4 linked regions of the Diceros bicornis minor genome follow. The protein of the gene in region 1 interacts with the protein of each later gene in a biochemical or structural test. Links are inferred from orthologs where the notes say so. Each region holds a gene or a part of one and is shown in the gene's direction. Other genes may lie near its edges. The genes, in order: ERBIN, ATP2B4, ACVR2A and SCN4A.

The links.
Region 2: the proteins of ERBIN (region 1) and ATP2B4 interact in a test that uses a peptide from one of them, tested with the Homo sapiens proteins (2 studies listed by BioGRID and IntAct). The link is inferred for Diceros bicornis minor from reciprocal best matches to the Homo sapiens genes ERBIN and ATP2B4.
Region 3: the proteins of ERBIN (region 1) and ACVR2A interact in a test that uses a peptide from one of them, tested with the Homo sapiens proteins (2 studies listed by BioGRID and IntAct). The link is inferred for Diceros bicornis minor from reciprocal best matches to the Homo sapiens genes ERBIN and ACVR2A.
Region 4: the proteins of ERBIN (region 1) and SCN4A interact in a test that uses a peptide from one of them, tested with the Homo sapiens proteins (2 studies listed by BioGRID and IntAct). The link is inferred for Diceros bicornis minor from reciprocal best matches to the Homo sapiens genes ERBIN and SCN4A.

The regions. Positions count from the first base shown.
Region 1 is NC_080759.1:11,090,241-11,097,999, reverse strand, and holds the start of ERBIN (erbin), read left to right. Parts: upstream 1-4,748; 5' UTR 4,749-5,394; intron 5,395-7,759. UniProt on the Homo sapiens protein: Acts as an adapter for the receptor ERBB2, in epithelia. By binding the unphosphorylated 'Tyr-1248' of receptor ERBB2, it may contribute to stabilize this unphosphorylated state.
Region 2 is NC_080743.1:101,988,980-101,996,798, reverse strand, and holds the start of ATP2B4 (plasma membrane calcium-transporting ATPase 4), read left to right. Parts: upstream 1-4,811; 5' UTR 4,812-5,188; intron 5,189-7,819. UniProt on the Homo sapiens protein: Calcium/calmodulin-regulated and magnesium-dependent enzyme that catalyzes the hydrolysis of ATP coupled with the transport of calcium out of the cell. By regulating sperm cell calcium homeostasis, may play a role in sperm motility.
Region 3 is NC_080749.1:32,217,932-32,225,919, forward strand, and holds the start of ACVR2A (activin receptor type-2A), read left to right. Parts: upstream 1-4,988; 5' UTR 4,989-5,693; coding exon 5,694-5,748; intron 5,749-7,988. UniProt on the Homo sapiens protein: On ligand binding, forms a receptor complex consisting of two type II and two type I transmembrane serine/threonine kinases.
Region 4 is NC_080757.1:46,737,535-46,745,372, reverse strand, and holds the start of SCN4A (sodium channel protein type 4 subunit alpha), read left to right. Parts: upstream 1-4,827; coding exon 4,828-5,100; intron 5,101-5,189; coding exon 5,190-5,308; intron 5,309-5,458; coding exon 5,459-5,548; intron 5,549-5,857; coding exon 5,858-5,986; intron 5,987-6,500; coding exon 6,501-6,592; intron 6,593-7,838. UniProt on the Homo sapiens protein: Pore-forming subunit of Nav1.4, a voltage-gated sodium (Nav) channel that directly mediates the depolarizing phase of action potentials in excitable membranes.

The DNA.
Region 1 (7,759 bases):
CTCTTACTTTGGAATAGGAGTGATATGCTACTTAACTAAAAAAAGTTTTTATGTAACATAGTTGGCGTTTTAGAGCAGGGCATTTAGCCTCTTGCTACACCTCAAATTATGCTTAATACTTACATATCCGCTATTTTTATGGCATATTTGATGCTAAACAGTTTTTTAAAACAAAATACTATAGAAAAAAATGTAAAGTTATTAAGTGTGAGCTTAAGTGAGTAGGAAAACAGCAGTTTTGTTACTCAAAGAAAGATAATATTCTTAAGTGAAAGCCTGCATTAAGGAGCATTAAGCCACAGTATTTAATCTTTTGTTGTTGCTGTTAATTTAATATTGTTAAGATTTAGAGAGAAGTGTGCATATTGCAATATGATTGAAATAGATTATGATTCACACCAGGGAAAATTTGAGAGGGGAAGTGGATCAGAAGAAGGTGATAAAGTTGGAAACTATGAAGGTGACTATTTGCCCCTGTTGGCTCAGCGCAGTCCTGGTTTTACATTTGTTGTCCCTGTGTAATTATTATTAAATGTCTGCTTTCACTCTCAAAAGTGTTCTAGCCTGGATGATACACTATACGGTCACCTTAGAAATGATGGAAGCATGTTACATGTTATCAGTGCATCTAAAAGTGCATCACTACTAACAGCTAACACTTTTGAGTCTGCCAGAAACTGTGCTAAGCACTTTGTGAGCACTGTCCCATGTGGTCCTCCCAGTAATCTATGAGGCAGTTAGTATTGTAGTCCCCGTTCTGGAGATGAGGAAGCTCAAGTTTACGTTTATAGATGTTCAGGAACTTGCCCAAGGTCATTCAGTAGCCAAGTTTCTAATTCAAGCAGTCTTGTTTCAGAGGTCACACAAATAATCACCACGCATTATTCATTTCCTCCACACTTTAAAAATGTTCATAAGACATCTGAAAGAAATTTAATTTGGATAGGCTACGAAATGTATGGATAGGAAAAAAGATTATCAAGGATATACTAGGGGAAAAAAAACTTCAAAACTTTTCATAAAGCTTTTCACAAATAGAGGGAGACTTCCCTGTGATTGATAAAATATTACTGAAAATATGTCTGAAAGGCAGAAACATGCTATGGGAGGGATGTTTCCATTCCCAAAGTATTATAAAATCTTTAGTTTTGGTTCCTGCATGTTACTGCCTCTTTTGAGCCCAAATGTCCGTTTCCCACACACTTGCCACCCTAACCTCCTGCCCTCACTATCAACGGGCTAAGATGGAAGTGAAAATAGGGAAGTCAATCCCTATTAAAAATATATGTTATAATGCATTTTGATCTAATTGATCTAATGCTTCTAGACTTTTTTTGAATCTAACTCTATTCTAGCCTGAAGATTAATTTTTCTCAAATACTACTGTGATAAAAGCTTTGGTTCAAGGTCACCAATTCTTTACTAGGTGTTGAGAAAGGGAGAAAAGAATGATCACCCTAAACTTTTCCTTGCCCTCTGCTAACTTGGTCACAAATGCTTGCGCACAGCTGCTTGGCTGGCATGGGGAAATGACAGGGAACCCTTTTTAAAACAGTGGATAGGCTCTCTGTTGAGACACTTTTTTTTGATGGATGCTGTGTGCATTCCCTGGAACGCTTAAGGTCTTAAGGCTTTCCTTCAGATATGTGGCTTATCTCTAGCAGACAGTAATTCCTTTCCTGAGCCCAGCCATGAGAAGGGAGAATCCCAAAGAAAGAATTCCCTGTCTTTCACGGACAATTATTTAGAGAATCACAATGGGGAATATCAAGTTATACTATCAACAACTATTTTTTAGCTTATTCTCTAAGGTGGTCCTGGAGTTCATTAATCATTACAGAATTACAGTTAGGCAGCCTCATTTAAAGTGGGGTTTTACTTCTCCCTTTAATCATAATTGAAACATTAAGTCCATCTTAGTTCAACTGTGGAAGGATTTTCAAAGGAAACTAATTTGTAAAGCACGGAACACGAGTGCCTTGTAAAAGAACAAACGGAAGATTTGGCTATATCTGTATGTGCTGCTCATATGAGTTAGAACCAAGCAGTCAGCAATGAATAACAAAGATGAATCATTATTCTGATTGTTGAATACTCTGATCATATAGTTGTCATTTCACCCTCGCATGAGCACAGATGCAGAATCCCTGCTGAAGATACTTTACAGAAGGATTATTAAAGAAACATTTGTCAAAATAGGTAATATTGGTAAGTGTATCCTGGCTTCCATCCTCTTAAGGCCAGCGTTTTGGGGTTCATTCTTACAGTATGAGTAAGTAGGACTTATTTAACAGTCGAATAGGGAGCACTTTATTGTCTATACTTCTCTACTCTCCATATATTCCCCCGAAGAATGAAATCACATTTCCCACTCCTACCTTCTCAGCATCAGCATATGCTATCTCTATATTCCCTCCCATCAAAAGCTGCTTTGGGGAAACAATCTGATGAATTAGGTATAAAAGACTAATAAGGCTTAAAAGAGTACCTTTCCCAGGATTATGCTAGAGAAATAAACTACTCAAAGGAATTAAATGCTAGTGGCAAAATTTAGGCGAGTTGGAGGAGGGGTTTTTGGTCATAGGGACTTTTGTAGCCTAAATGGTAGTCAGCCAGATTGGTCCCCAGTATGAGTTTAAGTCAAAATAAAGGCTAGGGCCAGGGCAGGTTCTAGCCTAGGGACTGGTCTAGTCCTATTTATTTAGGTTTGCGGGTGGTGTGGGGACATTACATTTACTTGATTCTATGATGTCACATTTAAACGGGTCTTGAATCAACCTGAGACTAAATGTGACATTGGAATCCTAGAATCCAGCTGGTCTACAGCTGGCCTCTGGCTGGTATGGGAGATACTCCATGCTGGGCTGCTTTAGGAGAGTGACCCTTGCAGTTCAGAGCTATACCAAGGAGTCTGGTCAGACTCAAACCAGTTTTCGAAAGTGGAGTAGGAAATCTTTCTTGTGACAATTAAAAATAGCTTATACTTACTAGTAGACCTGGCTGCTGTTTCCTGCTTTAATGTTCTCTTACCTCCAGTTCAGCACTAAATAAGCCTGACCACTTTGGTAGTGTCTGTGAACCTTCAACTTCTGCTCTAAGCTAAGGAACTACCTGTGTTTATTCTAGCAGTTCTGGAAGTAGTTAAAACGCTCCTACCCCTAACAGAACGTCTTGAATATCTTTGGAGTTGTTTCAAGCGTTTGTCACTAGCATACAACTCACTTTGGTAAATAATTCTTTGATGGACTTCACGAACTCCTTCCTTTGGATGCAAGCCAAAAATCATCTGTAGGGCATACAGCTCTTTATTCAAACTTGCTAATAAATAATTATCTCTGGAACACAGACGGAAGAACTGAAGCAGTGACTTCAGGGACACAGAGACTAATTACCATCACTGTACACGGTTAAGTACAGCACAGACTGGGGGCGGGGAATGGTTCGTTCCGTATCTATTAAGTTCCTTCTCCGGGTGAAACAAGGCCGTCTTGTCTGTCAACATATTTAAAGCAGTAACTGCACAAACTGTGCAATGTTATGGTTGAGGCGTTCTATGTCACGTGTTGACAGAATGCTTAAGAATCTCTCTCCGCAGTAAACGCAAACCCTGCCAGGCTGATAGATTAGGGCCAGCGCAATTCACCGACTGGTGCACCGAAACCGCTGGGGTTGGAAGCCTCTGTCGCTTTCGGAGCGTATACAATGTTTCCTCTAACAAAGGCACCACCTTGAGGCAATTTCGCGGGCCCTTTTCCCCCTCCCAGCGCCAGCTTTGTCTCCCCGCCGGTGTGGGGCTGAGACTTGGAGGAGCCCCAGCTGCGCTGCTGTGCGAGCAGGCTCGGAGCAAGGGCCGGCGTGGGAAGCTCCCCTGAGCTGCCGCTGTGGTTTCCTGCAAACTGAGCGTGCCTTTAGAGGAAGTTGGAGTGCTGCAGTTGAAAGAGATACCTGCAGCCTGAAAATCGGGGCTGGACTTGAACCCCTCGCGCCGATCACTGTCGTACAAAGACACTCAATCGGCCGGGGCGCCGGAGGCCCGCTACCGGGCTGGGCGCGGGGCAGCCGGGGTCAGCGTCGTCAGCGCGCCCACCTTAGGCGGCTGGGGAGTGGGCTGGGGGCGGCAGGCGGGCCTTCCCCGGCCTGGGCCGGAGCGGGCCTCACGCCGCGCCTCGCACGCGAGCCCCCGGCCGCCGCCGGCCCCTCCCGCCAGCCCCCGGCCCAGCGCCGCCGACGTCGGCCCGCGCCGCCCCGTGCGCGGTGACTGGCTCGCGCCGGCCTCCCCCGGCTGTGGGCGGGGGGGTGAAGCCGGCGGGAGGCCGCCCCGCCCCCGCCGCGGAGCCGCCGCGCGCAGCCTCTTCCCCCCTCGCCGGCGGGGCGGTGGCGCTGTTGCCGCCGCGGCCTGTGAGGCAGTGCCTCCCCTCCGCCCCAGCCCCCTTCCTCCTCCTTTCTCTGCGCGCCCTCCCTCCCCTCTCCGTCTCGCGCTCGAGTGAATGTGGCGCGGCGGCGCGGGACGCAGCCTCGGCCCCTGCCGCGGCCCCGCGAGCTCCTGAGGAGACGAAGCCGCCGCCGGCGCGCACCCCCCGCGCTGCCCGGGGGAGCCTCCGCCGCCCGGAGGGGGAAGAAGAACGAGGAGGGGAGCGAAGGGACGGCGGCGGGAAAACGGGAGAGGAAGCAGAAGAGGGGTCGAGGGCGGGTAGGGAAGGCGGGAGGGACGGACGGAAGGACGGACGGCCCGACGGACGGCCCGGGGAGGGGGCCGCCCTCGAGGCTGTTCGGCCCCTCGGCTGCAGCTCGGGGCCGCGGCGGCGGCGGCGGCGGCGGCGGCGCGGGCGAAGGGCGCGGCAGGCGCTATCGAGACAATAACCGCGCTGCCCGGCTCGGGGGGCGGTGGCGGCCTAGCGCGGCCGAGGCTCGCCCAGCGCGCGGCCGCGTCTTCGCGCCCGCCGGCCGGGTTCCGCCGCCGTCGGGCGTGCGGGGCGCGCCGGCCTCCCGGAGCCCGAGGCTCCGCCGGCGCCCCCTCCCCTCCCGTCCCCTCCCCCTCCAGCGCGCGGAGCTGGTTTTCCGGGTTGCCCTGGACCGAGCTGGATCCTGCTTCTCGCCAGGGCAGGAAGTGAGTTTCGCACGGTAATTCCGGGCGGTGTCACGAGTGAAAAGTTTTTTTTTCGGCGGAGATCTTAGTTGGGGCTGGGAAACTCCTGCAAAACTCGAGACCAGGAAACCAGCCCGCTTCCCAGCCCCCACCAAAGCAACCTACTCTTCCTCTTGCGGGAGGCCGCTCCACATCCGCTCTTACCGGAGAGAGAAATTCGGCTGGATCCGAAGTGACTAATGAAGGGAAGGAAATCATGTCAGGCGAAGCGTTGAAAAAGCTGCCCTGAGACACTGCCCGACCGAAAGGTAATTTCCACGAAAAGTGTCTAGAAGTCACAAAGCTCCTGGGCCAGGAAAGAGAGGATAGTTGAGTGTGTTTCACTTTTTCCCAAGTGTCCCTGAATTCACCTTTGCTCATGTCGAACGGGATAGTGTTTTAGGTGCTAAATGGTAGAACTGATTTGTTTTCCCCCTTCTACCATCAGGACTCTGGTTATTTTAGAAGAGGTTGAAAGAATGCGGTGGGATGAAAAGTTTTAAGCAATCTGAAGAAAGAATGCCTTTGTTCAGCGCAAGGTCCAGAAGTTTTAGTTTCCCGGAACATATACAGTGTATATTTTTTATTTGTTAAGTTGCTGAACCGGCAACTTTGGTTTTAGAAGAAAGGTCGCTGCAGCGAGTGGTTTGCTGTTGTTGAGATGGCTGCCACATTTGTTTATACTGTTACCCATTTATTAGGCTTTTGCGTTCAGTCGTATATAGAGATTTTGTAGTTCCAACACTTAGAAATATATTTCGTTGAATTTATAAACAAAAACCTTTGCCATTCTGAGTCATTTTTCTAGGTGGGTAATATATTTCTTCAGTAACTTGTTCCTTTCAGACGCTTAGAACCTTATAATACTTGTATGGTTAATTAATTGAAAGCAAGGGTCTGCTAGAGTTTTTTGTAGCTGACCTAGTAGGAAGAAGGAGAGCGTAAGTGTTGTGGATAGTTACAATTAAAAAACAAAAAACAGCTATAAGTCGTTTGATTTGTTAGGACGTCTCTGCAGTTCAGATCAGAATATATAGGAAAGGAAGTAAAATGCTTCAAACGATTTTCTTGGAAATCACATTGTGATAAAGAGCTGTGCTTTTTGAATAGTACAGTATTTACATTTTTGTGTTGGCCCAAATGTTTTGGCTGGTTCTGCCTAATAAGTGATAGGTACCTGATGTAGAGGCAGGGATTAGTGATGCGTGAGAGACATTCCACCAGGCAGAGTTATAAACACTACTGAACCAATCGGTAGTCTTTATAGATCAAACTAGTTTTGGTCGCAGCAAACACAAAACGGTTTCTTCAGTGGCCTTTTAGTGTGTATCTTTTTTAAGTTTTTTTGTTTTTCCAGTACTTTTCTGGTAAAGGGAGGTGAAAGACAATACTGTGCTTTTGCATAAATATTAGATAAATATGGTGTTCCATTGTAGGTATATCTAAAATATAAATTGATGTTTAGTTTGCCCATGCTACCCCAAGAAAAATAGTTGGCTTTCTTTAGTCCAAAGAAGAGAAAAGGTAGGTTTTAAAGAGATCAAATTATTTCACAACTTGGTTTTTGTTACTTTATTAAGTATATTTCAAAATGAGACTCTTTTAACTATTTATTACTATATATTGTTTTGATATTTTCCCCAGAGCCTAGTCTCTGGAGATCCTTTTTTTTTTTAAAAAAAAATTCGTTGGTAAGATTTGTGAACCATCAGGTAATTCCTGTTAAGTCAAAGCTGCTTTATCAAGGAATTTAAAGTAAATAACTGATCTACTTTTTGATTTTGGAACGTATCATTAGGCAGCGAAGGAGGTTATTCTTGGGCATCTGAAAGAGCGGAACAAAATAAATGGCACTGAACTTCAGTTCCCTTATATGGCTTATACTTGGCCTCAGAGCAACAAAGCCTTAACAGAACAAGTCTTTTATAGAGAATTATCATTTTGAGCAGATATTTCTCTGCATTAGTAAATTTTATGTGTAAGAAATATTGTAGCATTTGAAAATAACTTCTTAAATTCCTGTTTTTAGATATAGTTCTTGATCGTTGTTTTTCTTTAGGGAGCAATAGTATGTTTAGATGTAGACCACACGTTTTTAAAAGTGAGATGTTCACCTTTGTAGTTGTCTTTGATTCCTTTTTTCCCCTCCACAAGGCAAAATTTACTTTGTGGTTTACTTACAATTTTTGTTAGTTTAGCACTGAATTAACTTCATGAATTTTAGGCTTTATACTATTGTCAAACTATAAATATTTTTAAAGCCTTGTTTAAAATGTGACAGTGGTTTGAAAAGAAGTTAAAAAAACAATAATCAGTTAAAATATTTTTAAATGGCTTCAAATTTTGTATATTCTTCTTAGTATTGTGTGGGTTTTCTTAGATTAGATTGGCAAATATAGAGTACTTCAAAGTGTTTGCTTATATTGCACAAATGCACATCTAATGCTACTGTTTATTGAAGGTACTTAGGAGTTTTCAATAGTGATAAACTTGATTCTTAACTAATTAATTCAGATATTACGTTATGAAGTCAGCCTGCTGTTTGAGAACAAGCTATTGCAAACTTTTCACATCTGAAAAGCTTACCAAGGTTCAAATATGGAAACCAAATTTTTATTGCATGTTGTTTCTTAA
Region 2 (7,819 bases), on another chromosome or scaffold:
CTGTGTTCTTATCTAATTGCAGCCTTCCTTTATCTCCTGTTATCTTGGCCAGGCCAATTCCATGGACTTCTGCCTTGAGGGTGTCTAGCACTCTTACCCTGGTCCCTTAGCTGGCACGCTTGATCCTCCGCCTTTGGAGCCAGCCGGTGGCTAAATTAGTCCAGTGTCCTCCCCTCAGTAGCCCTGCCCTTGGTTATGTATGACAAGGACAGACAAAGGGCATGGGGGCAGATGTCGCTTGGATAAATGCCTCTGTCTCTCCTGCCTTCAGCCTTCACCAGACCTGCTCTGCAGGGGAGTGGGAAGAGAGACACTGGGAAGAATTTCAAAGTCCAGCTGGAGTCCCTCCAACTCTGAGAAGCCTTCCTCAAAAGCTCCTGCTCACCTTCAGCTTCTCCTTCACTAGACTATCATGAATTTTTCATCTGGATCCAAGCTTGAGACTTAATCACATACTTTGTTTTGTTGTTATCTGATTTATGAGTCTCCACAACTAGATAAGAAGCTTCTAGAAGACAGGGACCATGTTATACATAACTATGTTATACCAAATTGCCCAGCACTGCACTGGGCCAGCCACCTACCCTACACACTGCTGCCACAGCCAGCTTGCTGACCACAAACCCCACAAGGCCACGCAGGGCCCTCCACAGTACAGTCCTAGCCTTCGCTCTATTCTTCCCACCTCCTACCTTTCTCACATCATCACCCTCACAGCTCACCCCACTCACCCGCATCCAAAACAGTTTAAAGATCACTCTTCAACATTTCCACGTCCCTCCAAATACCACGTCTTTTCTAGAGCCTTCGAACATTCCTGTCAGAAGTGATCACTCCCTGGAATCTCCACAGAAGTATTTTCATACTTCCTCCTTTCACAGGAACTACCTAGCACACGGTAAGCACTCAATAAATATGTCTGAAAGAATACCATAACACCTTCCATTGTGGTTATTTATGCTATGAACATATCTTTTTCCTCCACTAAACCATTATCTCTGTATACTCATCTGGGCCCAGGGGATATGGGAACAGTAGACATTCAAGAAATGTATACTGAATTGAATAGTAGGTATTCAGTAATGAATAAAATTCACTGAAATGAGTGTACCTAAATGGCAGGTACCAGCTCATAGGGTTTCTACATTACTTTCTATATGACATTTCTATATTACTTAGTACAAGTGACCAGAAAACAACTTAATTTAGCTTATGCATGCATAATAAGTCACATAACTAACTGATTTGTAGGAACAGCAAGGGTACAGTAGGGTACGAGTACAGTTGACTCAAATGCTTCCAGGACTCACTCTTCAGGCTTCTTCTCTGCCTCTCTCTGCATGTAAGCTTTATTCTCTCCTACTGGCAGGCTTCTTCCATGTAGCAGGGAACACAGTCTCTGATACTTCCAGAGCCTCATACTTCACAATGTCCACTGCTGGGGGGAAGCAAGCCATGTTCTCCCTTTGGTCTTAAGCTAAAAAATCCCAGGAAAGGATGTAATGGCTCAGGTAGGGGTAGGACCTCTAATAAAACGATAGTTCCCATCTAAATAATAAGGAGAAGACCATCTTAAAGAAGAACTGGGTCTAGGTGTGGGAGGATGGTTGCTGTTCTAGACACACAAACAGTAGCTGTCCATAGTAGGGAGAGACGCAGTTTGAATTCTAGGGAGGAGGACAGAAACGGCGAGGGCCATTTGGGGAACTCAAGGTGGAGCTCTCAAGAGGCCAGAGAAAGAAATTCTGTTAACACCTGAGGGAGGGACAAGGCTGACTGCATTTTCTTCAAGTGAGAGATGGGGTGGGGACAGGGTCCACAGTGATGGGAGCCCTGCCGAGGCTGTCCTGCTTTGGGAAGGCCATGACACCTGGCTGAGGAGAGCCAGGCTAGAACCAAAGAAGCAGGGAAGCTGTGAAGTCAAGGGGTGGCAGGGACAGGAAGGAAAGGGGCAATGGCAGGCTAGGGCAGCCAGCCATGCACAACAGCCCAACTAGGAACTTCTGATGCCGGAGGCAGTACCCTCCCTCCTGACACAGTGCCGGGAAGGGGCACAACTCCACTTTCTTACATTTAGTGGTTCTTTTTATGGGTAGACTTATTTTTATCATTTCTAGACCTCAAGCCTGCTGCTGGAAGAAAACAAGGCACCGAGGCTTCTGCGTTTCCAGAAAACACTCAGTGGCGGGCTCAGCTGCGGACATCAGGCTGTGGCCTCCCCTGGAGTCACCTTGCCACCTCTCACACCCTTCTCTTCTGTCTACATGGGAACTGGGAGTTGGAATGGGGTGGGGGTAGCCTCTTCTCTCACCTCACAGCCCCACCTGGACAGGGGGAGCACTAAACGCTGAGACAAGGGAGGAACTGCTTGCCAGCTACCACAGAAGTCATCCTCCTGGCCTGCCCATGAATCCGGCCAGCGAGAGGTGGGACAGACATCAAAGCCTCTTCTGGCAGCACCTCCCCTGCAAAACCTCTCTCCCTGGAACCCAGGGAGCTTGAGGGGAGGATCTTGCCTTTCAAACACTAACCAGCTCTGAGCTGGCATCACGTCCCAGGCCCCACATGCCAGGCAGCTGAAGTAGACTTCTCCTCTACTGGGCCCACACATCTGGCCTAAATTCTTACTCCCCCAAGACAAGTTTACTGAACAGTTAGGCAATGCCTTCAGCACAGCCACTGCAGACAAGCTCAAAATATACTTTAATACATTTAAAGCACCATTTCAGAGACTGGCTTTCTCATGATAAAGATGCAATTGACACTCACTAGGCACTAAAATGTCAAGTTGTTGCAATCCTGCACGGAGACTGACAAGCCATTAAATCTGAAGCTCTGTTCAGCTGATTCCTTTCCTTTCATTCCTCTGTCTGCCCCAACAATTGCTCTGGGCTCCTGAAGCCAACATTTTGGTAGGACCTTCCAGACTCTGACAAGGTACCATCTCTATCTCTGCCATCAGTTCTTCCACTGAAATGCCCTGGGGGTTGGGGTAGGAGGAACCAGGGAAGCCCGGAGAGGAGCAGGGAGTGCGAGAGAACAAATCTCACCTTTGGTGTCCTCCCAGTGAAAGGAGGGTGAGACCTCCAGGCCCTAGGAAGAAAGGACTGCTTGGGAAACCAGCCATGGACGGTTTCCATAGAGGGTGATCCTAAACTCCCCTCCCCACCTCTGCAACCTTCCACCAGCTGGTCTGGGCAGGTCAGGAGAGGCACAGAATGGTTCCCAAGACAGACGGCAGCAGGCAATCCCTAGCACCACATGGCAGAACTCTGAGTTCTGAGCCTGGCCCAACCCCTCTAAAAAAGTGTCTGTACTCTTTTTTGTTTAACTGTCTCTAGCTCAGAAAGAGGATGTGGATGAGTTACTGAGAAATAGTAGGACAGGAGAATAAAGAGAGGACAGAAAGGACCCAAATGGTAGGAAATTGGGAAGCGTGCTAACAGAGAGAGGGAAACCAGACCCCAGGGGTCTAATTCACAGCTCTGTGTCTCCACGTGCATATATGGTCCTTCCCCCCAACCCCCATCCTGGGGCAGGGAGGACAAGTGTGGTGTGAGGTGTTGGATTAGGATGGGAGGATCAAAGAGGCCTCTTCCCAAACCCCTGAAGTTGTGACCGGTCACCTTCTTCGCAGCAGAGTTTACCACTCTAACCTGGGAGGTGTATGTTGACCTGCCTCCCACAGCATGTGAATAGCGCGAGTGTGTGTGCTGAGGGAGGTGTGAGAACATATCAGTCAATGACAGTGTGTTGTGTGAACCAGTTGATGGTGCATGTCTGTACTTGAAAGCTGTAAGGTTCTAGGCAAAATCTATGGGTGGCACTGTTGCACAATGCTGGTGGGTGTGTGGCTGCGGGGGTGTGATGAACAGTATATAGGCTGTGTATAAGTGCGAATGGGTGTCTGAGTGTGTGCAAATTAAAAAGGAAATGTGTGCCAGAGTATGATACCAGTGTAGGAATGTACACCGGCTTTGGAGTCAGTCTACTTGGGCGTGCATCCTGGCTGTGTTATCAGCCAGATGTGTAAGCCTGGGTGAGTCACTGGTCCTCAATCTCCTCAGCCCTGAAATGAGGATAATAACAAGCACTTTTCAAGACTGCCAACAGCACTAGCAATGATACTGCATATAAAGCTTTTGGTGCCAGAGCCTATACGTAGTAGGACTCAAAAGAAGGCAGCTATTATCATGCTCTGTGGATGCGCCTCTGGTGGGTACAGAGGCAAGAGGGAGCAAAATGTGCCCGTTGTTGTGTGTGTGAAATCTGGGGGAGGAGGTGTGTACTAAGGTGTCTGTAGAAGCAAAGCTGTGCAAATGTATGTGCATGCAACACAACTCCTCCTTTTCCGAGGATCCCCCTGTTCAGACAGGGCCGGAGGTTGGGAGGGGATGTACAATGTCCGCAGACACCTCCTGTCTCGGGTCCCGGGTCCTGGGTCTAAGCAAGAAGAGGCTGAGAGGCCGTAGGAGCTGCAGGAAGCCAACTGCCTGCAGAAGCTTCCTTTTCCCTCCCCCCAGCAACGGTTGAATACCGCACCCACTTCCACTCCCCACTGCCGCCCCCCACCCTACCTTCCCTTCGACAGTGAGATCAAGGGCGGAGGAAACCGAGCAGAGAAGATTCCTCCCTTGCCTTCCCCAGGCCCCCTTAACACAAACCGGGAAGTGGCCAAGGCTCGCCTTCGAGCCACCTTAACAGTAGAGTAAAAACCTGGCCCCTCGCCAAGCCCCGCCCCTGCTCCGGCGCGCGCCCCTCCCCTCGCTCCTCCCGCTCGCTGGGGAGGCGGGTGAGCCCCGGGCCGGCCGACTTGGCTGGAGCTGTTGCCATGACGAGCATTTTCTTAAGACAGCGATGCAGCTGAGACCGTCCGAAGCTGGGGGTTGAGGGAGGGGCACGAACTTCCTGGGGACGCGTCTCTCCCAGGAGAGCGAGACCGGAGACACCCGCCCCGCTCCCCGGCACCCATTTTCTTCCAGGAACCTGAGAGGTCCTTCCACGGGGAGGGCCGGGGAGAAACCTAGCCCGCTCCCCGTCGGGGCGGGACCGGCAGGAGAGCGCAGCCGGCATCCCTAGCGCGGTCGCCACACCGGGGAGACCGGGGAGTGTCAGCCGTCACCCCGTCCATGGAAACCCGGAGGGAGAGTCCCGCTTGGAGAAGCCTGTATCTTTGCTAGAAAGAGAGGTAGGCTTGCAGAGAATGAATTGACTCGCGATTTGCGAACTTTATTTCTTTCCTCTCAATGGCTTCTTAAACTCCTTGAATTTCCTCTTCCTAGCATATATTCTGCGACTGGGCTTGGGGGGGGGGGTGTTGTGCGCGCGCGCGCGCGCGCGCACACACAGATTTGTCAAATTCTGTATTTCTTCCCTAGACTCCGTTCTGAGAAATCATATAATCAAACAAGTGATTTCTTTTTCTTTTCCTACTTTTTGTCATACCTGGGCCGTGGGGGGTAGGGAAATGGAGGGAGTGGAGTGTTTTTTTCATACCCAAATTGAGCTTTTGGAAAAAGCATTTGTTTCCCCTCATCCGCTCCTGCCCTCCCCCTCCCCCTTGGCTTGGGAATGAGACACAGAATGGAAAACCGTTGCAAAAATATTTTCCGCGTCTGTTCCCTTGCTCGAAAGCCCCAAAGAGAGATGGGAAAAAAAAAGAACCGGGTAAGAAATTTTCAACAAGGAGGAGGGGTTGCAGTGGGGACTGGGAGGGGGCTTACTGGGGGCGATGGGTGGAGGCAGAGCTAGGAGAAGTTGGGAGGGTGGGGAAGGGGAGTGTACAAATTAAATTTCTTTAGCTTTGTAGAGAAACCTCAGCAGTTTCTCTCTGCTGCTTGCAAAACAGCCTCTGACTTTCACGTCTATAATTAGCTGTGGAAAAAGCTGGGAGTTCCCTCCAACCGCTGTTGTTTGAGTGTGTGCAGAGCATCAAGAGCCAACTGTATGAGTGTCTCTGAGGGCACCGCCCCATACATCTCTGGTCCCAGAGGGGAGAAAGGAGAAGGAGTGACGTTGGAAAGTTTGCAGTGTCAAGGCTGGTGACTGGGGCTGGGGAGTGTTTGGCAGTTGAGGGTTGGTCACAGGCATCCTTGGAAGGGTCCCTGAGCATCTTGGGCCCCTGCGTTGTCTTGCTGAAGAGCTAGAAATTAAGGCTGGGATTGTCCCTCCTGATCTCCTTTCATGCTCACGCTCCCTAACATACTTGGCTCGCTCTCAGGGTGGAGGAGGCCGGCTGGCATCCTCCCCGAGGCGAGTCCAGCCTCACACACTCCTCCATCTCACTGAAGGACCTACAGCTCTTCTCCAGCTGGGTGCGGAGGCCACAGCAGTGGCTAGCACATCCTGGAAGAGAGTAGGCACTCTGTTGGCCAGAAGCACCTCCCTCCTGGGCATTCTTGCCGGACTTACAATAACTTGCAGACATGATGCCGGCGCCGGCTGGCCTGGTAGAGGGGATGTCAGATGAAGAAATAGGCGAGCGCTCAACTGACTCTACCAGGGGAGGGGAAGTAAAATCCCCTTCTACAGTGCCATCTTCTTCTCTGGGTGGGATGTCTGGCAGGGAGTCTTAAGATCCTCCCCTCCCGCCTTAAGCCCCTCCCCAGAGCTGCCCCTTCTTGCCCTTCCTATTTGGAGGCCCCCTCCAGCCCCCTCAGCTGCGGGCCCTCTTTATACGGAAGGAAGAGAAGGGACCAGGGTCAACCTAGGCTGGGACAGACCACAGAGAGGGGCCTAGGGGTCAGGAGGCACAGGATGGGGGAAGGTTTAGGAGGAGGGCAGGAAGAGGTGGTGGCTCTGATGGCTAGTGAGCCCAGTTCCCTCATTGGCTAGGGGTAGTGGCATGGGGGCTGGCTCTGGCAGGTGGGTCCTGGACCTGAAGCAGACTGATGGTAGGGGAGGGCGGGGTGGGGGGTGTCAGGCTGGGGGAGAGGAAGCACCTGCCCTCTGCCTCAGCTAGTTTGGTTGGAGGAGCGGTAAAGGTGACAGCTTAGAAACTGGAAAGAAGGAAGCAAAAGACTTGGAGGAGAGCTTAAATGGGCTGGGGAAGCAGTAGGAACCAATTTTCATTTTGAGTTGCTGGATGATTGATCTGACTGCACCCCAGGGACAGACAGCTAGCTCCTCCCTCCTTGCATTCTGGTCAGGAAGAGAGTGAGGTCTCTGCAGTGGGCAGGGGACCCAAGATAGGATTCACGCCCTTGTTCTGTAGGAGGGGGAAGGGGAATCCATTTCTTTGCCCCTGCTCTGGAGCCCCATCCTCCCTGCCACCATCTAGCTGAGGTACAACCCCGGGGATCACGGCGCCCTCCCATCTTAGACACCTGTAATCCCACCATTCCTGCCGCTGGCCTTCGTATTTCAGTGCTGTGACTAGGGGTGGGTTCCGGTGGGTTTGGGGAGGGCTTCCCTATTTAGCAGAGGAGGCTCTGCTCCTGAGGCCTTGAGTCAGGTGGGCCGTGGGGAATCTCTCTGCAGCAGCCCTTCCCAGGGCCGCGGGCTGGATCAGGGCTGCAGCAAACCCAGCAAACCGTGGCAGCTCGGCTCCACCCTCCGGCTAAGTCTGGATCTGGGTGCTCTGTGCAGAAGGCGCTCCTAGCTGGGGAGCAGAGGTTTCCTGCTTCTGGCCATGCTGAGCCTTAGCCCCTTCCCCTTCCAGTCACCACCTCCTGTCTCTTCTGGACTCAAAGTCAAGTCAAAGGAGCACAGCTTCTCTTACCCTTGGGACTCCCAGCACCTAGCACAGTGCCTGAGATGTTATAAGGTGCTTGGTCAATGTTTGTTGGGAGAAGGAAGTGGCATTTTGGGGGAGCCTAGG
Region 3 (7,988 bases), on another chromosome or scaffold:
TAAGATCTTGCATAGTCTGGGGCCCATATTCCTCTCTTCCTATTCATACCTCTCTCTTCATTGCCGTGGGAGCCTCCTTTTAATTTCTTGAACATACCGTAGGCTTTGTACATACTGTTCCTTCTTAACTAGCTCCTTTCACGACTATCTATCTCCTTTTCATCTTGTAGGTTTCAGTTTAAATGTCACTTCCTTAGTAAGTCCTTCTCGAATCATTCTCTCTAAATAGGTCCGCTCTTCCTATTCAATCCCACCACTCTTATTCTTTATCTCAGCATCCCGTCTGCTTTTATAAATAATCCCTCCCATTAGACAATTACTTATTTACTCGTTATTTTTCTGTCTTCCTCATGACACTGTAAGCTCAACGAGGGCAGAGACTGTACCCATTTCATTTATCACTATACTACCAACACCTAACACAAATCCTGTAGCTAATAATTACTTGTTGAATAAATGAATATCACAGATAAATATGTACAATGTAATGAAAATTATTGATTCTTATGCAGTCTTGCATTATAGAAATTTTAGGACTATAGCATCAAAGTTTCATTCAAGATTTTAAGCATTTGTCAAAATGGATGGAGGGCATTATTTTTGAGAAAGAGTCTTGGGTAATACGGCCTGTTCTCTACTCCAGTGCCTCACAAATTATCTATGGTGAATTTCCAATCTATAAGACTTTTGTAAAATACAATAAAATTGAACTACTAAAAACACAAAATAAAGACAAGAACAAACAAAATATAAGCCCAATTATTTTTATTAGCTTCAACAGACATAAAACTATTCTGTCAAGTTTCTACAAAACTTTTTAAACAGTTGTCAATGTCTATACTAATCTCATTGAAGATCAGTAACAAATGGTTGGAGACCAACACTGGTTTGAGAACTACACTTTGAGTAGTGTTTACTCCAACTTAAATGACTTAGATCATTGGGATCGGTTAGATAGTGTATCTCAAAGTCTCAACTATTCTTTCTACTAGAAAGAGAACTATTCTTTCTAGTAGAAAGAATAGTTGAAAACTATTAGAAATAAAATAGAAAACTAAGAAATAAAAGTTATAAAATTTAGAAATAAAATAGTTATAAAACTATTAGATGGCCCGCCCTGTGGCTTAGCGGTTAAGTGAGTGCGCTCCGCTACTGGTGGCCCCGGGTTCAGATCCCGGGTGCGCACCGAGGCACCGCTTCTCCGGCCATGCTGAGGCCGCATCCCACATACAGCAACTAGAAGGATGTGCAACTATGACGTACAACTATCTACTGGGACTTTGGGGAAAAAAAAAAAAGGAGGAGGACTGGCAATAGATGTTAGCTCAGAGCCGGTCTTCCTCAGCAAAAAGAGGAGGATTAGCATGGATGGTAGCTCAGGGCTGATCTTCCTCACACACACACAAAAAAGTATTTTAAAAAACTATTAGAAATTAAATAGTTAGAAAACTAAGCCCCTGAGATCATGAATATAAATTGGAGGGTGGGAAAAAACTTTCCCTAAATTAAGCCTGTTCTTTTTGTTTCCCACACATTTACTGGATTTAGAAAGAGGTGATATGGGAGAAAAAGTCAAATATTACCCTTGGGATGTTACAGAGAAACCAATTGGTTGTTGAGATTTATATTACTAGCTGGGTTAGTGTAGCCTTTTTATCAAACTTGATTACATTGGATACATTATAAAATTACACTGGATACATTATTTCCATCATAGCTAGTTTCTCTTAACTCACTTTTCTGTCCTAAAATATTCTGCCTTTGTGTTTTGTCCCTCATCCATTCCCACATCCTTATTTTTCTCAGTATGTGTCTTTTTTACCCCATTGGCACAGTGCAATGCTATGGCTGGACCTAAATAAAAAAGAGAAGAATAACAGGACCAAAAGCTAGGATATAGGGAGTTTTCCCCCGACCTTGAGCATCTACGGAGAGGAATACAAGGAAGATATGCTGATTATTATCTGCCTTCCTTTGACTTACTGAGGTACCAAGTTTATTCCCCATGTATTATGCCTTACAGCATTGGTATAAAAGAAATTCATTACTTGTGCCACTTCAGGAATGCCCATGTTATCTGAACACAGGAGTAGACTTTTACAGTAACTAGAAAACAGTAGAAATACTTTTAAATCCTTCATCTAAGGGGAATTCAACATCCCTCATACTCCAAACGGATTTAGTCATCTTCCTGATGATGAGGAAGAGAGATCTGGCATGTCTTGCTTATATGTGGCTATTGGTATGTCCAAAGGCAGGTCTATACCTTAAGGTGAATTTCCTCACAATATATGGCATACCACCCAATCTCAAATGCAAGTTCAATTCCAGCCCAGTTCAAATACAGTCCCACTTCAGAGTTGAACATTTAAACTTAGTCCATACCGTTTTGAGCCAAATGAGTTTTTCTAGCATAAAAAGAAATCATCCCTTATTCTAGAAGCTGTGTATGGCACTCATTTACGTCTGTCTCCTCATCCAGCCAACGCACACCCGAATCTCTAGATTGAACTGGCTTCTCAAGACTCTTGCAGCTGGGAATAACTTGCAGTTCAGTTGAACTTATTGTCAGGACTCTGTACTTGAAATTCTAGCATTGGAGTGGCTACAAGGCCGCAGGTTTTGGGATTGAGAGATGTTAGCTAAAGCTGTTTAATGCATAATTGTCTAATGCTCTGGCAGACGAGAATTCTTTTCAGTTTTCCTTTTCTTTTCCTCTCCTTCCTCATCTTCCTTCCCAATCCCAGTTTGTACAGCTTACACTGTGTTAGGGAGGTGTTGGATTTGTAGATAAGCAAAAGCGATTCTAGAAAATAGAAAGGAAAGAGGGGCAGTAGGGTTAGCTGCAGCTACCTCTATCTCCTTTTTAAGCTTTGGAATTCCAATGGGAATTAGTCACATACTCTCATGTCTTATTACGTTGAATCACTTTTGAATTTTTTAAAAAAATGCAGAGGGTGGACGTGAACACAGATTTAGGCACAAAATAGGTAACTACTGTCACTGGATGTAAATAACTTTTCCCATGGGGTTATTTTAACTCTTCATTAGAGAAGACTAGTCTAGTGAAGACTTTGACTTGTTGCTCATCTTTCATACTACAAAAAAATAATTTTCATCTTCTGTTACGTTCTTATACTGGAAATTCAGGTGGTAAGATAAGAAATATATTTTCACGTTTTAATCCTATTACTGGTTATTCCAGTTTTTCCACTTGCTCTGGTTTCACAATTCAAGAAATATTGAAGTGATGCAGAGATAAGACAACAGTGGGGCCTGATCCAGGGTATAACTGACATCAAATTTCTGAATGAACTAAATGAAATACACTTCCATTCCAGAAACGTTAGTGACAACTCTCAGTCAACCAGAGAACCCAAGGAGGTTTATATCTATTCCTCTGATTAGCTCATAAAATAGTTCCAGAGAACTACATAATATGAGGTCCTTTAGACACCTAGAAGACCAACTTGGGACTTTTCCTAACTGTTGCACAATATCAGTCAAATTCTGAGAACCACCACTTGAGAACTGGAAATCTTGGAGAGAGTTTAAAGAGCCACAATGATTGTTAATAACCTTGACAGGTTGTAGAAATGGGCAGATAATTACAGGATGAACTTAATAGACAGAAATACAGAGTAATTTAGAGGAAGAGAAAAGTGAAACACTAAATACAAGGGAGGCGGCTTGGCTTTGTGGGAAAAATGTGGGAATCAGTAAACCACAAGTAAAACATGAATTTGCCATGCAGTGCAGTTGCTTTATCATTATCTTTATTAAAAAAAACCCAAAAATTTGTAGAGTACATGTGAGAATATTGCATTTAAGAAGGCAGTTATCCCCTAGTCATTTATACAATTCTTTATTAAGCACCTATCATATGCTGGACACTCTGAGCGCTGGCATAAAATGGGGAAGACGACATAAGATCCCTACCTTCACGGAGCTCGCTCAAGTGTGGTAAATGACAAAGCTAGCATCTTTAATACTGCCTTTAGTTCGTATTTCGCAGCAACTTCGAGTACGTATAGCAAGTACTGTGAGCACCTTGAGGTAGGGATCCTATTTTTACATTTTGGATCCCATTCCGTGGCTAGCACAACACCCTGTAAGCAATCAAGTTGGATTAAGGGGTAAAAATAAGCCCTAAAAGAACTAAAATTTGAAAAAGTAAACACTTGTCTGACCACCAAATATGTCGATCGAAATCCGCACGTTTTCTCTTCAGCTCGTAATAAATATTTGCGAACCTATTACATGCAGAGCAGTTCTCAACACAATGCTTTGTGTATACAAGGGATGGTGGGAAGGGATTCAAACTGCACATCGTGGTAATTGCCGTGGATATCCTGGGCGGGTGGACAGCCCATCCTCCGCGAGTTTTTTTCCTTTCTTTTTTCTCTTTTAGCCGAAAGACAAAACCCTTAAGCAGAAACCACGGGGGTGGGATGCACCGCAGGACTCGGGGCACAGACCCAGCTCGCGCGCACCGAGCTCGCTCGGACAGCTCGGCAGGCGTGGCGGACCCGCTCCCACACGCAGCTTCGCGGCGCCCGGAGTCTCCGAGCGGACGAGGCGTCCCCCCAGAGGAAAGACGGGGCGCCGCAGACGCCCCCCGGAGGAGTCACCGGCCCCAGCCCCGCCTCTGGTCCTGTTCCTCTCGGGCTTCCCGGACCAGTCGGGCGTGCGCTCCAGAGAGGCCAGTGGGGCACCATCAGGACACCAGCCACGCTGGCCCCCCGCAGCATCCACCCGCCCACCCTCTCGAGCCCCACAGCCCAGCAGGCCGAGCAGGCCGGACGCCGAGGCCTCGCGGTATCGAGCCACCGTCCGCCCCGCCTCCTCGCCTTCCAGCTGGCCCCGCCCTCGCTCTCTCACCCTCCCCCGCTCCCGCCTCGCTTCCCCGACAATCTCTTCGCGCTCCCGGCCCGGCACGCGCGCTGCGACCGGCAGCCGCCGCCGCCGCCGCCGCCGCCGCCGCCGCCGCGGAGCGTTCCTCCGCCGTGCCTGGCTTCCAGCTTCGGGCCGGAACCGGAAGTTTAGGGGGCGTGGCCGACTGAGGCCCGGGGACCGAAAACGCGGCCGAGCCCTGAGCCCGGAGCCGGAGCCAGAGCCTGGACCAGAACTTGGCCGCCGCCTGCACAGCCGCCGCAGCCCGCCGCCCGCCGCTCCTGCCCCGCGCCGCCGCCGCTGCCTCGGCCGCCACCGCCGCGAGCTCGGCCGCCAGTGGTCCGCGGACTTTGGGTGTCCGGGTTGAAGGTCGGTCCGGACGTCGGACCCAGCTCGGTTCCCGGACTGTCCGGGCGGCAGCGGACGCCGCCGCCGCCGCCTCCTTGTCGCCTCAGCCTGGCGTTTTGTTCCCAGAGCCCGGAGAGGCGAGCGGCGCTGACAGTGATTTTGACAGTGATTTAAACCTGCTTTTGTTGTTGTTGGCTTTTCGTTGTTTGGTTTTGTGTGTTGTGCGTGTGTGTGGCGGTTTTTCCCCCGTGGTGCATTTTTTTTTTTATATTATTATTGTGCCTTTTTTTATTTTTCCTCTTTTTTTAACCCCGTGAACGTTTTTTTTGGTCGGGGCTTCCGAGTATGTTTTATGACGGTTGATTTTACACCAGGAGGTTTGTCTCCGAGGAAGACCCAGGGAACTGGATATCTAGCGAGAACTTCCTACGGATCCCCGGCGCCTCGGGAACATGGGAGCTGCTGCGAAGTTGGCGTTTGCCGTCTTTCTTATCTCTTGCTCTTCAGGTAGGTGCAGGCAGCGCGGCGGGGCTGCTGCTGCTCCTGCGGCCGCTGCTGCCGCTGCTGGCGGCCGCGGTTGTTGTTGGGTCGGCGAGCTCCGGGGGAGCCTGGGGAGGTTCCCCCCCACCCCGAGCCCCGCGGCTGCCACCCCCCGGGTCTGATTGGGATCTGGAAGCCTCCATGAATTTTTCTCGTTTTGAGTCAGGTTGGCGAGCTGATAAGAGCGACTGCTCTGTTGTTGTGGAAGTGAGAAAGTCATGGTTTGTGGCCATAACACTGGATGACAGCGCTGGTTGGGTTGCAATTAAGCCGCAGATACCACAAGTGACAATTTGTGCGAAGGTTTGAGACCTGAAAGACGTATTCCAAAATGTCATTGAGTGTGGCATCCTCTAAAATTAAAGGTGTTTTTAAAAATCGTGTTGTAATGAGCGCTTCATCGGTGGCTATCACGACAGAGATCAAGTCAGTTGCTACTTAATTTTGACCGTGAGAAACAATGCATCATATCAGCAATTTCATCTGGGTCTCCCCTCACGTTTTCTTCAAGTGCAGTGTCCAGCAGTGTTAAAAATAGTTGTTGTTGTTGTTGGAGTATTAACTATAACCCAGTGCAGAAGAGGTATGCCGCTGTGTGTCGGTAATGTGCTGGCTTTCAACCACCATTTATGTGCTCTTTTCTGGCATAGATTTTGCTTACCTACGGAATACTTATTTTAAACGCGTTGTATCGAAGCATTGTTTTCGGTTTAGAACAGCCCATTTGAGATTGTTGGTACTGTCAAATAGCCTATAGTCATAAGATCGGTTTTGGTCCAAGGTTGGAAGAATAATCTGGCCCTTTTACATTTGAAATTTTGATTTTGTGAGAACGTTCTGTGGTTGCAACCAGTGGTTGGAAAACTATCTAGTCTTTTGTATTTGAAATTCTATAAATGAATACAGCATCTAGCTCAAAGGTGTGCAGATGTACGTAACAGGAGAGTGAGTTAGATGAAACAGTTTAAAGTCACAATGAATTTATTTATCATAAAATTCAATATTCGGTGACTAGGTTGTGAGAGAGAATTGTCAGGGGGGAAAACGAATTGACAGGTTTCATGGCCATGTCTTTATCTCATTTGCCACAGGGAAATTAGAGGGTGGTAGTCTTTTCTTTGTGTACCTCTGTGGTGTGTGTGTGTGTGTGTGTGTGTCGGTGTCCCCGTCCTCCCTACCGCCCTTTTTTAAAGAATCTTTTGTGATGTATAGAATTTTGCTGAATGGTACATTTCCTTGTGGTTAATAAATGGATAAAGTCTAGTCTTATGTCTGTAGTGGTATTGATCAGTTCCGGGTGGGCTGAATATGTTGTGAAATGGCGATCATTGCCAGAGATTAACCAAAAGAATCATGTCTGTTTAAATGGAAGAAGGAACATGCTTAAGGCAGGCTGACAGTTCTTTTTGTGCAAGGTTTGGGGAGGAAGATAAACAATGGTGTCTCTGAAATGAATGAATACCTTGATGGCATTAAACCTCTTGCTTTTGTGACATGACTTAACCATGTAGCTTTTATTTTTCCCATAGTACTCTTTCTCCTCTGCCCCTGTATGTTCTGGTTGGTGAACTCCTCTTGTTCAAATCCCTTTTTCTGATCTCCTGCCCTTGAGGAGGAGGGGCATCATGGCCACTGACCAAGGAATTGTGGATATTATTCCCTTCCAGACCCACCTGAGTCACGCTAATTGGTGAAGCAGGTTATTCTTGAGCAGTCTCAAGGTATTACTTCTGGAAAAGCAGGCTGTCGCTACACATCTTATAGCTCTCTCTGCTTGGTTTGGGAGTGAAAAGAATAGAGCATTAGCTTCTTCTAGGATTATTTTCACTGGGCCAGGAGGTTAATAGCTAAAATTATGAAATAAAGTAATTTTGTTGCTATAGAGGGTATAGATGTTCCACTTACATTAAACTAATATTAAATATTATTGCATAGTTTTTTTACATAAACATTCCTAGTTGAACTAAAATATAATTCTATTGAAGATAATTGAAATAATCTTAAAGACTTTAATCCATATTTATACATGAAGATTTTTAGTACTTAAAATGTCTGATTTTTTAAAAGAGCTTTTGTTATGAATCAAATGCACTCTAAAAAAGGATGATTATGTTTCTTTTCCTAAATGATTTTTCTATGTAATATGTAATCTGGCATGCGGGAAGAGTAAGGATGGCTATTTTTATGAAGATTTGAAAATTTCTCAA
Region 4 (7,838 bases), on another chromosome or scaffold:
AGAAGGCAGGATGCCCAACTGGTGCATCTTTGTGTCCTACTCAGGGCTAACTCAGCTTCTGGCTTATGAACAGAATGGATGGATGGAAGGATAGATAAATGAATGAAATATAGCAGAATTCATTTTATCCCTAGAACAGTCTGTATCCAAGGCCTCATCCACACATTCTTTCAGCAAACACTTATTGAGGATTTGCTGTGTGCTCAGCACTTGGATTGGCCCTGGTGACCTAAACAGACACAGTTCCTGCCCTCTTCGCATTTCAATCTAGTGTAGGAGACAGACAAATGAATTAGGCAAATAGACATGTAATTACTAATTATGACAAATGATGTCAAGGAAAATACAGGGGCCTGCGATAGAGAGTAGGGGAGGATAAAGATAGAGAGTAGGGGAGGATAAAGCCCCTTGGAGAAAGGACATTTGAGCCTAGCTGGGGCAGGGGGGTGGAGGGGGATGGACACGGGATGGGACGGGACAGGATGGGACGCGACAGCCACATGAAGACGGAGGGGAGCACGGAGCCAGGTAAAGGCCTAAAAGCAGGCACAAGCCCAGTGCTCAAGGAGCTGGAAGGAAGCCAGTGGGACTGGGCCAGAGTGGACAGGGAGAAAAGATCAGGAGACAGAGGAGGAAAGTACGTAGGGCTGGATCACCAGGGCCTTGTAGGCCACCATAAGAAGTTTAGGTTTTAGTCTAAGAGCAACGAAAAGTTACTGGAGAAATTTAAGCTGAAGAAACAACATGATTAGTTTCTAATTTTTAAAAGATCGCTGGCTGCTTTATGGGACTTGTTTGGAGGGGGCAGGGCAAAACAGGAAGCAGGAAACAGGCTATTGCAAGAGATTATTGTGGTATGGACCAGAGGAAAAAGGGGAGGTTAGGGAGATTTTGAAGATGGTATTAATAGAACTCCGGATGGGCTGGATGCAGAAGATGAGGATATAGGAGAATCCAAGGAGAGGCCATGATTTCTTTTTTTTTGTGAGGAAGGACAGCCCTGAGCTAACATCCAATGTCAGTCCTCCTCTTTTTTGCTGAGGAAGACTGGCCCTGGGCTAACAGCTGTGCCATTCTTCCTTTACTTTATATGGGACGCTGCCACAGCATGGCTTAACAAGCGGTGCAGCGGTGCACACCCAGGATCTGAACCGGTGAACCCCGAGCCTCTGCAGCGGAGGGCGCGCACTTAACCACTTGCACCACCAGGCTGGCCCCTGACACCACGATTTTTGACTTAAGCAACCAAGTGGATGGTGGTGTCATTTCCTGAGTTGAGGAAGACTGGAGGGGACAGTGGAAGAACACAAATGTTTCATTCCAGATGCTGTCAGTGTGATGCCTGTTAGCTATCCACATGGAGTGGTCCAGTAGGCAGTGGAATATATTGGTCTGGAGTTCAAAGGAGAGGTTTATCGTATTCCTATAATGCTATTTACAGTCATAGGAATGATGCCATCCAGACTCAGACTGAGCCCTAAGAAACTTTAGAGATTGGGTCAAGAAAGAATGACAAGCCAAGGAAGGAGCAGCCAGAGAGGTAGAAGGGAACCCATGGGTGTGCTTTCACGGGGGCTGAGTGAATAGAGCTTTTCCAGAAGGGCACTGTGGCCAACTGGGTTGAATGCTTCTGAGAGGTTGAGAGGGGTGAAGACAGAAACGTGTTCAGAGGACTTGGCAGCAGAGAAGGTGCTAGTGACTTGACAAAAGCCATTTCAGTTGAGTGGGGGTAATGGAAGCCAGGTTGGAATGGGTTGGACAGCAAACGAAAGGTAAGGCAGTAAAGACAGCTAGTGTAGACACTTTCCAAGAAGTTCACCTGTGAAGAGGGACAAAAAATAGGGCAATCGATGAAGGGAGATGTGAGGCCGAGAAGGTAGTTTTTGTCACCACTGCCGTTATTTTTAAGATGGGAGAGCCTGTTCATAGACAGGGAGAGGTTGATGGTGGTAGAGAAAGATGATAACTGGAGAATGAGGTTGTTGGGAAGGCAAGCGGGGTCGGGGCCTGAGCCCAGCAGAAGGCCTGGCCTCTGGTTCTGTACAGCAGGTTGGAGGAAGAAGGAGGCGGGGGCAGTGAAGATAATTCTGTAGATCTGACCGTGTGTAATGACGTGAAGTGGCTTCAGCGTTGGTAAAGAGGGTAGGAGGAGAGGAATTTAGATGAAGTGCAAATTTTGAAGAGAGAGATGAGTCCATTTGGGGCCAGCTGGGGGACAGCAGGAGGAGGTGCCAGCCTGGCTGTGCCATCTGTGGGTCTGCAGCTCAGGGGAGGGCCTGGGCTAGAGAAGAGATGTGGGGACCACGCGGCAGTCTTTAAATAGCCCTGTGCAATGTGCCAGGCACCAGATTCAGTGGTGACCCCCACGTCCCGGGCTGTGAGGAGTCTAGTCGGGGCACAGACACCAGGAGACAATCGCGCAAGCAGAGTATGAATCACTGTTGACCTAAGAGCTTCGAAGGCTGTGGCTGTGCATGAAAGGCAGCCGCGACTTGACTGGTCTGGGGCCATCGGGGAAGTGGGAACAGATGTGGCAAAGCTGTAGGGACCACGGCAAGGAGGTGGGTGGTTGTTGTTTCCACGTCAGAGGAGAAGGACACAAGGGGAGAGGTGCTGATCATCTCTAGATCAGGTCCTAGAGAAGCAGCATCCTCCAAGGGCAGGAAGGAGGACTCACAGAGCAGAAATGGAAAGAGTGGCTAGAGGGGCAGGCCACGTTCTTCTCTCGAGAAGAAAGGCAGTGGCAGTGAGAAATGCTTGAGGGAGGGCCAGGAGGGCCAGCTAAGAAGAAACCACTGGATCTGTCCACTGGGGGCCGCTGGCAACTCCAGGGAGCGCAGTTTCCACGAGTGCTGGGGCGGGAGCAGACTGTTTGTCTCTGGCTTTCTGTGGTCCCACTTGGGCTCCTGTGAAGGAGACAATGGGCATCTCAGGCCAGGGGATTTGCCAAGTGGAGCCTGTGACCTGGAAGGGTGCCCAGCAGATATGGGGTCCCTCCAGGGCCATCTGGCAGGTCAGTGTCTTCTGTATGGAAGTGTACGTGGGATCAGTGATGGGGATGAAGGCAGGAAGGTGTGTGATGAGTGGTAGGGTACAACTGTGGGGTCCGCATGAGGGATGGTTTCAGGCTGGGCATGTGCGTCTGTGTTGTGTAAATGTGTGGGCTCACGCACACACACTCCCACGCATCCTATGGGGCCAATGAGCAGCTGAGGGACGGGGTCAGCAGGAATGAGCAGAGTCATCCCCGTGGAAACACGACTCCCTGGGTGATGGTAGGGAGCAGCTGGGCAGCCAGGCACAGGGGGCGTGGCCAGCTCTGCCCAATGGCTCCAGCCTCTCCCTGGGCCACCCTCCCCACCTGTTGACCAAGCCTGAAGAAGTGCCCGCACTGGCCGGGGCAGGGGTACTGCTTGGGCATCTGGGCCTGCTGTGAGGGGGGCTGCCCTCCAGTGTGGCTCTGGGAGGTCTGTCTGAGCCCCTGTGGTGGAGGAGTGGCTCTGGGTTGTCTGTGTGCGGGACTAGCAGCGGCTGCGTGTGACTGGGCTGCAGCGGTCTCCCTGTGCCTGCCTGCTGATGCGGGTCATTCCCCAGGGCCTTTGCGATGTGACCCTCTACCTCCCTTTCACAGGGAACAGGCTCAGGAGGGCTGGGCAGGAGGGGGAGGGGCCAGGAGAGGCGGAGGGACTAGCCTAGGAGACACAGTCCACACAGTTCTCCCAGGCCTCTAAGGCTCCTGGTGGGTGCCCCTTTATCCACCCAGCTCATGCAGGGACCACCAGCCACAGTCTCTGGGAGCTCTAGCCCTCCCCCCACCATTGAAACTATGCATCTCCTTGTCCCCATGACCTTTCCTGTGTCCTACCTTTCCACGTTAGCATCTGCAGGCTCTCCTGATGTGGACCCACGCATACAACTTGCATCTTCCTGCTCCAGTACCCCCTGCCTGCCCAGTGGGTTAGATTCCACAGGTCCCATGGGTGGGAGCTGCAGGGCCCAGGGCCCTTCCTTCTTCCATCTCCCAGCCCAACATCACGTTTCACCAAAGCTCAGCACAGGGCACACCACACCCCACCTCTTCCTTTCCCCTTCCCTCCAGACCATGGATGGCAAATATAGGCAGATGCACCACATTCTCCTGTCTCATACCCCTGGCAGACATCACTAATCAATCAAAGCAGTCTTTCTGCACTGAATCTGGCTGCAACCTTGATGGTCTATGCCCACATCTCCAGGCCGCCAATAGCAGCCAATGCAAGTTGGCCCATAAGATGAAATCCATTTGCCATTCCTGCTGTAGAGTGATCCCACCAGGCCCCTCATCTTGGCCCATCCTCTGGGCCCACTTGCACATTTCACACCTGACTCCTTTCCACCTCAATGTGGGGAGGAGGCTGTGTGGGCATAGCCAGCTGTGGTTCTTTCTGTCCCCATAGGCTGAAGCCACACGGTTCCCAGAGCTTGAACCCAGGAGGCGGTTGAGGGCACTGGGGCGTTGGCCTCAAGTCTGCAAGGCTGAAGAGGATCTGGCTGGTTTGCTGTCAGTCCTGAGGGCAGCCAACCCCCTGCTGGGGAGAGTGTGGTGCGGGGCTCAGGGGTGATGCTCTTGTGGCCAGCACCTGTGCAGCAGCAGCGCCCGGGCCTTGCAGGCACATCTCCCAATCCGATAGGGCCTGCACGCTGACCACCCCAGCCTGGCCCCTGGGCAGGCAGGAGGTGAGTAGCAGACAGCAGGCCCCAGGGTGGGGTGGCTGCCCAGCACCCCCGGGGCTGTGCACTGCCCCAGCTGCCTGCCACCCTCCTGGCCCCTGAGCCCAGGATGCAAGGATGGCCAACTCGTCTCTGCCCACTGTGGTGCCTCTGGGCCCTGAGAGCCTGCGCCCCTTCACCCGGGAGTCCCTGGCAGCCATAGAACGGCGGGTGGCGGAGGAAGAGGCCCGGCTGCAGCGGAACAAGCAGATGGAGATCGAGGAGACTGAACGGAAGCCGCGCAGTGACCTGGAGGCTGGCAAGAACCTGCCCCTCGTCTATGGGGACCCTCCACCGGAGGTCATCGGCATCCCCCTGGAGGACCTGGACCCCTTCTACAGTGACAAGAAGGTCCGGGTCTGGGGGGTTCCCTCTACCTGTCTGTCCACTGTCCATCTGTCTGCCTGGCCCTAGGCCTCACAGTTCTCTTCCTGCCTCAGACCTTCATCGTGCTCAATAAAGGCAAGGCCATCTTCCGCTTCTCCGCCACGCCCGCTCTCTACCTGCTGAGTCCCTTCAGCATCGTCAGACGCTGCGCCATCAAGGTGCTCATCCACTCATATCCTGCCTGAGTGGAGTGAGCACAGGGGTGGGGAGAGGCAGGGAGGGGTTGGGGGTGGGCAAAATGGGGTACTCTGGGCAAGGAGGCCCTCTGTCCACCTCCCCTCCCCACCTGCTCCCTCACTTTCCTTGACCCCCCCCCCCCAACGCTGTTCAGCATGTTCATCATGATCACCATCTTGACCAACTGCGTGTTCATGACCATGAGCGACCCGCCCCCCTGGTCCAAGCACGTGGAGTAAGTCTCTCCCTCCCCTGAGCCCCCTGGTCCTGGGACACAGCCCATCCCAGGTGTCTGCACTCTGAGGATGCTCTTGCACTCAAGACACTGCTCTTGTCTTCCAGGGAGACACACACTGTCACTGTCACCCCCATTAACACCCAAAGCCCCCGGGGTGGTGTATATTGTCACTCTCACCAATGTCCTCAGCCCTCTGGGTGGCATATTTCATTTCTGCGACCCTCCCTCCTGGGAGGTCCATCATTGCCACCCACCCCCCTGCTTGGGTGTGACATGCCTGGCGCTGGCCGGCCCTCTCCCCGCCAGGTACACCTTCACAGGAATCTACACCTTTGAATCCCTCATCAAGATGCTGGCCCGAGGCTTCTGCATCGATGATTTCACATTCCTCCGGGACCCCTGGAACTGGCTGGACTTCAGCGTCATCATGATGGCGTGAGCAGGGCCCCAGAGGCATCCTGAGGCTGGGAGTCAGGGGTGAGGGGAGGAGGCCAGGCCTCAAAGAGGGCAGCTGAGTGGGCTGACCCTCTGTCTCAGAGGAGTGGACTGCAGGGGCCTCAGGTCAGGTGTGCAGACAGTGAGCTGCACAATTCTAGGAGCTACCCTTCTTAGGGTCTAGCTTGGAGGCTCTCCTGATGCCCCTCCGCATACCATGTACAACCACACACAGCAGCCCTGGGCCCCAGTCCCACAGGCCCTCAGCCACTGGGAGAGCTACCCTCGCCATCCCCACTCCCCAGCAAAGCACCTGCATTGTCTTTCCCAACTCTCAGGCCCCAATAGGAACAATGCGGGCGTCTGACCTGCCCCTCAGCCTCCTTTGGGAACCTCAACTATAAGGATTCCTTGGGGATCCTCATTCTGGGCCTGGAGAAGCCCCTGATTTTTGCCCTATCACCCACCCCCCACTCTGACACAGCCCTTACCCCAAACTGCACCCCCTCTCCAGGTACTTGACGGAGTTTGTGGACTTGGGCAACATCTCAGCCCTGAGGACCTTCCGGGTGCTGCGGGCCCTGAAAACCATCACAGTCATCCCAGGTACCGGGGAGGCGCAGGGACCCTCCACCCAGGTCAGCAGGCCTTCCCCCGTGCTCAGTCTGGAACCTGACACTCAAGTTCCAGGAGCCTGACTGGGGTCACAACACTCCCAGGCTCTGTTTGTGTAGGACCCACACCAAAGCCTGGACACAGAGGGGCCCCATGGCCACAGAGGGGAAGGGGCCCCAGGTGGGAGCATGGGTGTGTGAGAGGCAGCATAGCAAGATGGTTAGAGCACAGACTCTGGAGCCAGACTGCCTGGGTTCAATTCACACTCCATCACTTCCTAACTTTGACCTTGGGCAAGTGGCTTAACCTGTCTATGCCTCAGTTTCCTCATCTGTAAAATGTGGATAATAATGGTACCACTCATTGGGTTGTTATGAGGATTAAATCCCTTAATATCAATAAGGTGCCTAGAATAGTGCCTGGTGCATGGTATGTGAGTTAAATAAAATAAGCAGACTGGGCAGAGCAGAGACTCCACCTGAGAGAGACACAAAGGGAACCAGTGATGGAACGTGCCAGCCCTGAGGGCTCAATAAGGAACACGCCGCATACCCACTGAGCAACGAGGCTGGGGCAATCCCAAAGTAATGCATCAAGAAGCATGAAATAAATGGAATTTGGCTCATCCAGACCCTCGGAAAAGCATGTGGAGAAACTGGAAGTGGCTCATTACAGGAGAGAAAGATGATCTGAAAAGGGATGGAGAACAGGCTCTGGGAGGACGAGAAAGTTGTTCCATCTTCATGCTAGAAAGTCCCTTAGTTCTCTTCTAGTCCAAAGCCCTCATATTGCAGCTGAGAAAGGAGACCCCAAGAGACCCGAGAGGGCAGTGCTTACTGAAGGCCACACTGCCCTTTGGCCACTGCATCAAGGCCAAAACACCTTTCCTTGATGCCACGCTTCCAGCATCCTCAGAGCTTGAGAGAGTTTATAAGGAGGCTGCTGAGCATCTGTTTCCCATATCAAGATAAGAAAAGAAAATGAATTAATATTGAAGTAAGAGACACTATGATTAAGCCCAAGGAAGAAGTTATAGCTCTTCTATAAACGATGGGAATCCATCCCTGGAATTCCAGAGTCATTTATGCCTTTGTCCGTCCAAAGGGGCAGAAGGCAATGACATTGCAGTCAGTCTAGAGCTCCTCAGAGTGAACCCTGCTGTTCCTCGGGTGTTAACAGGCATGACAAGAAAAAGGGGTCTGTGGTCAGATAAGTTAAGGAACCATGGTATTAAAGT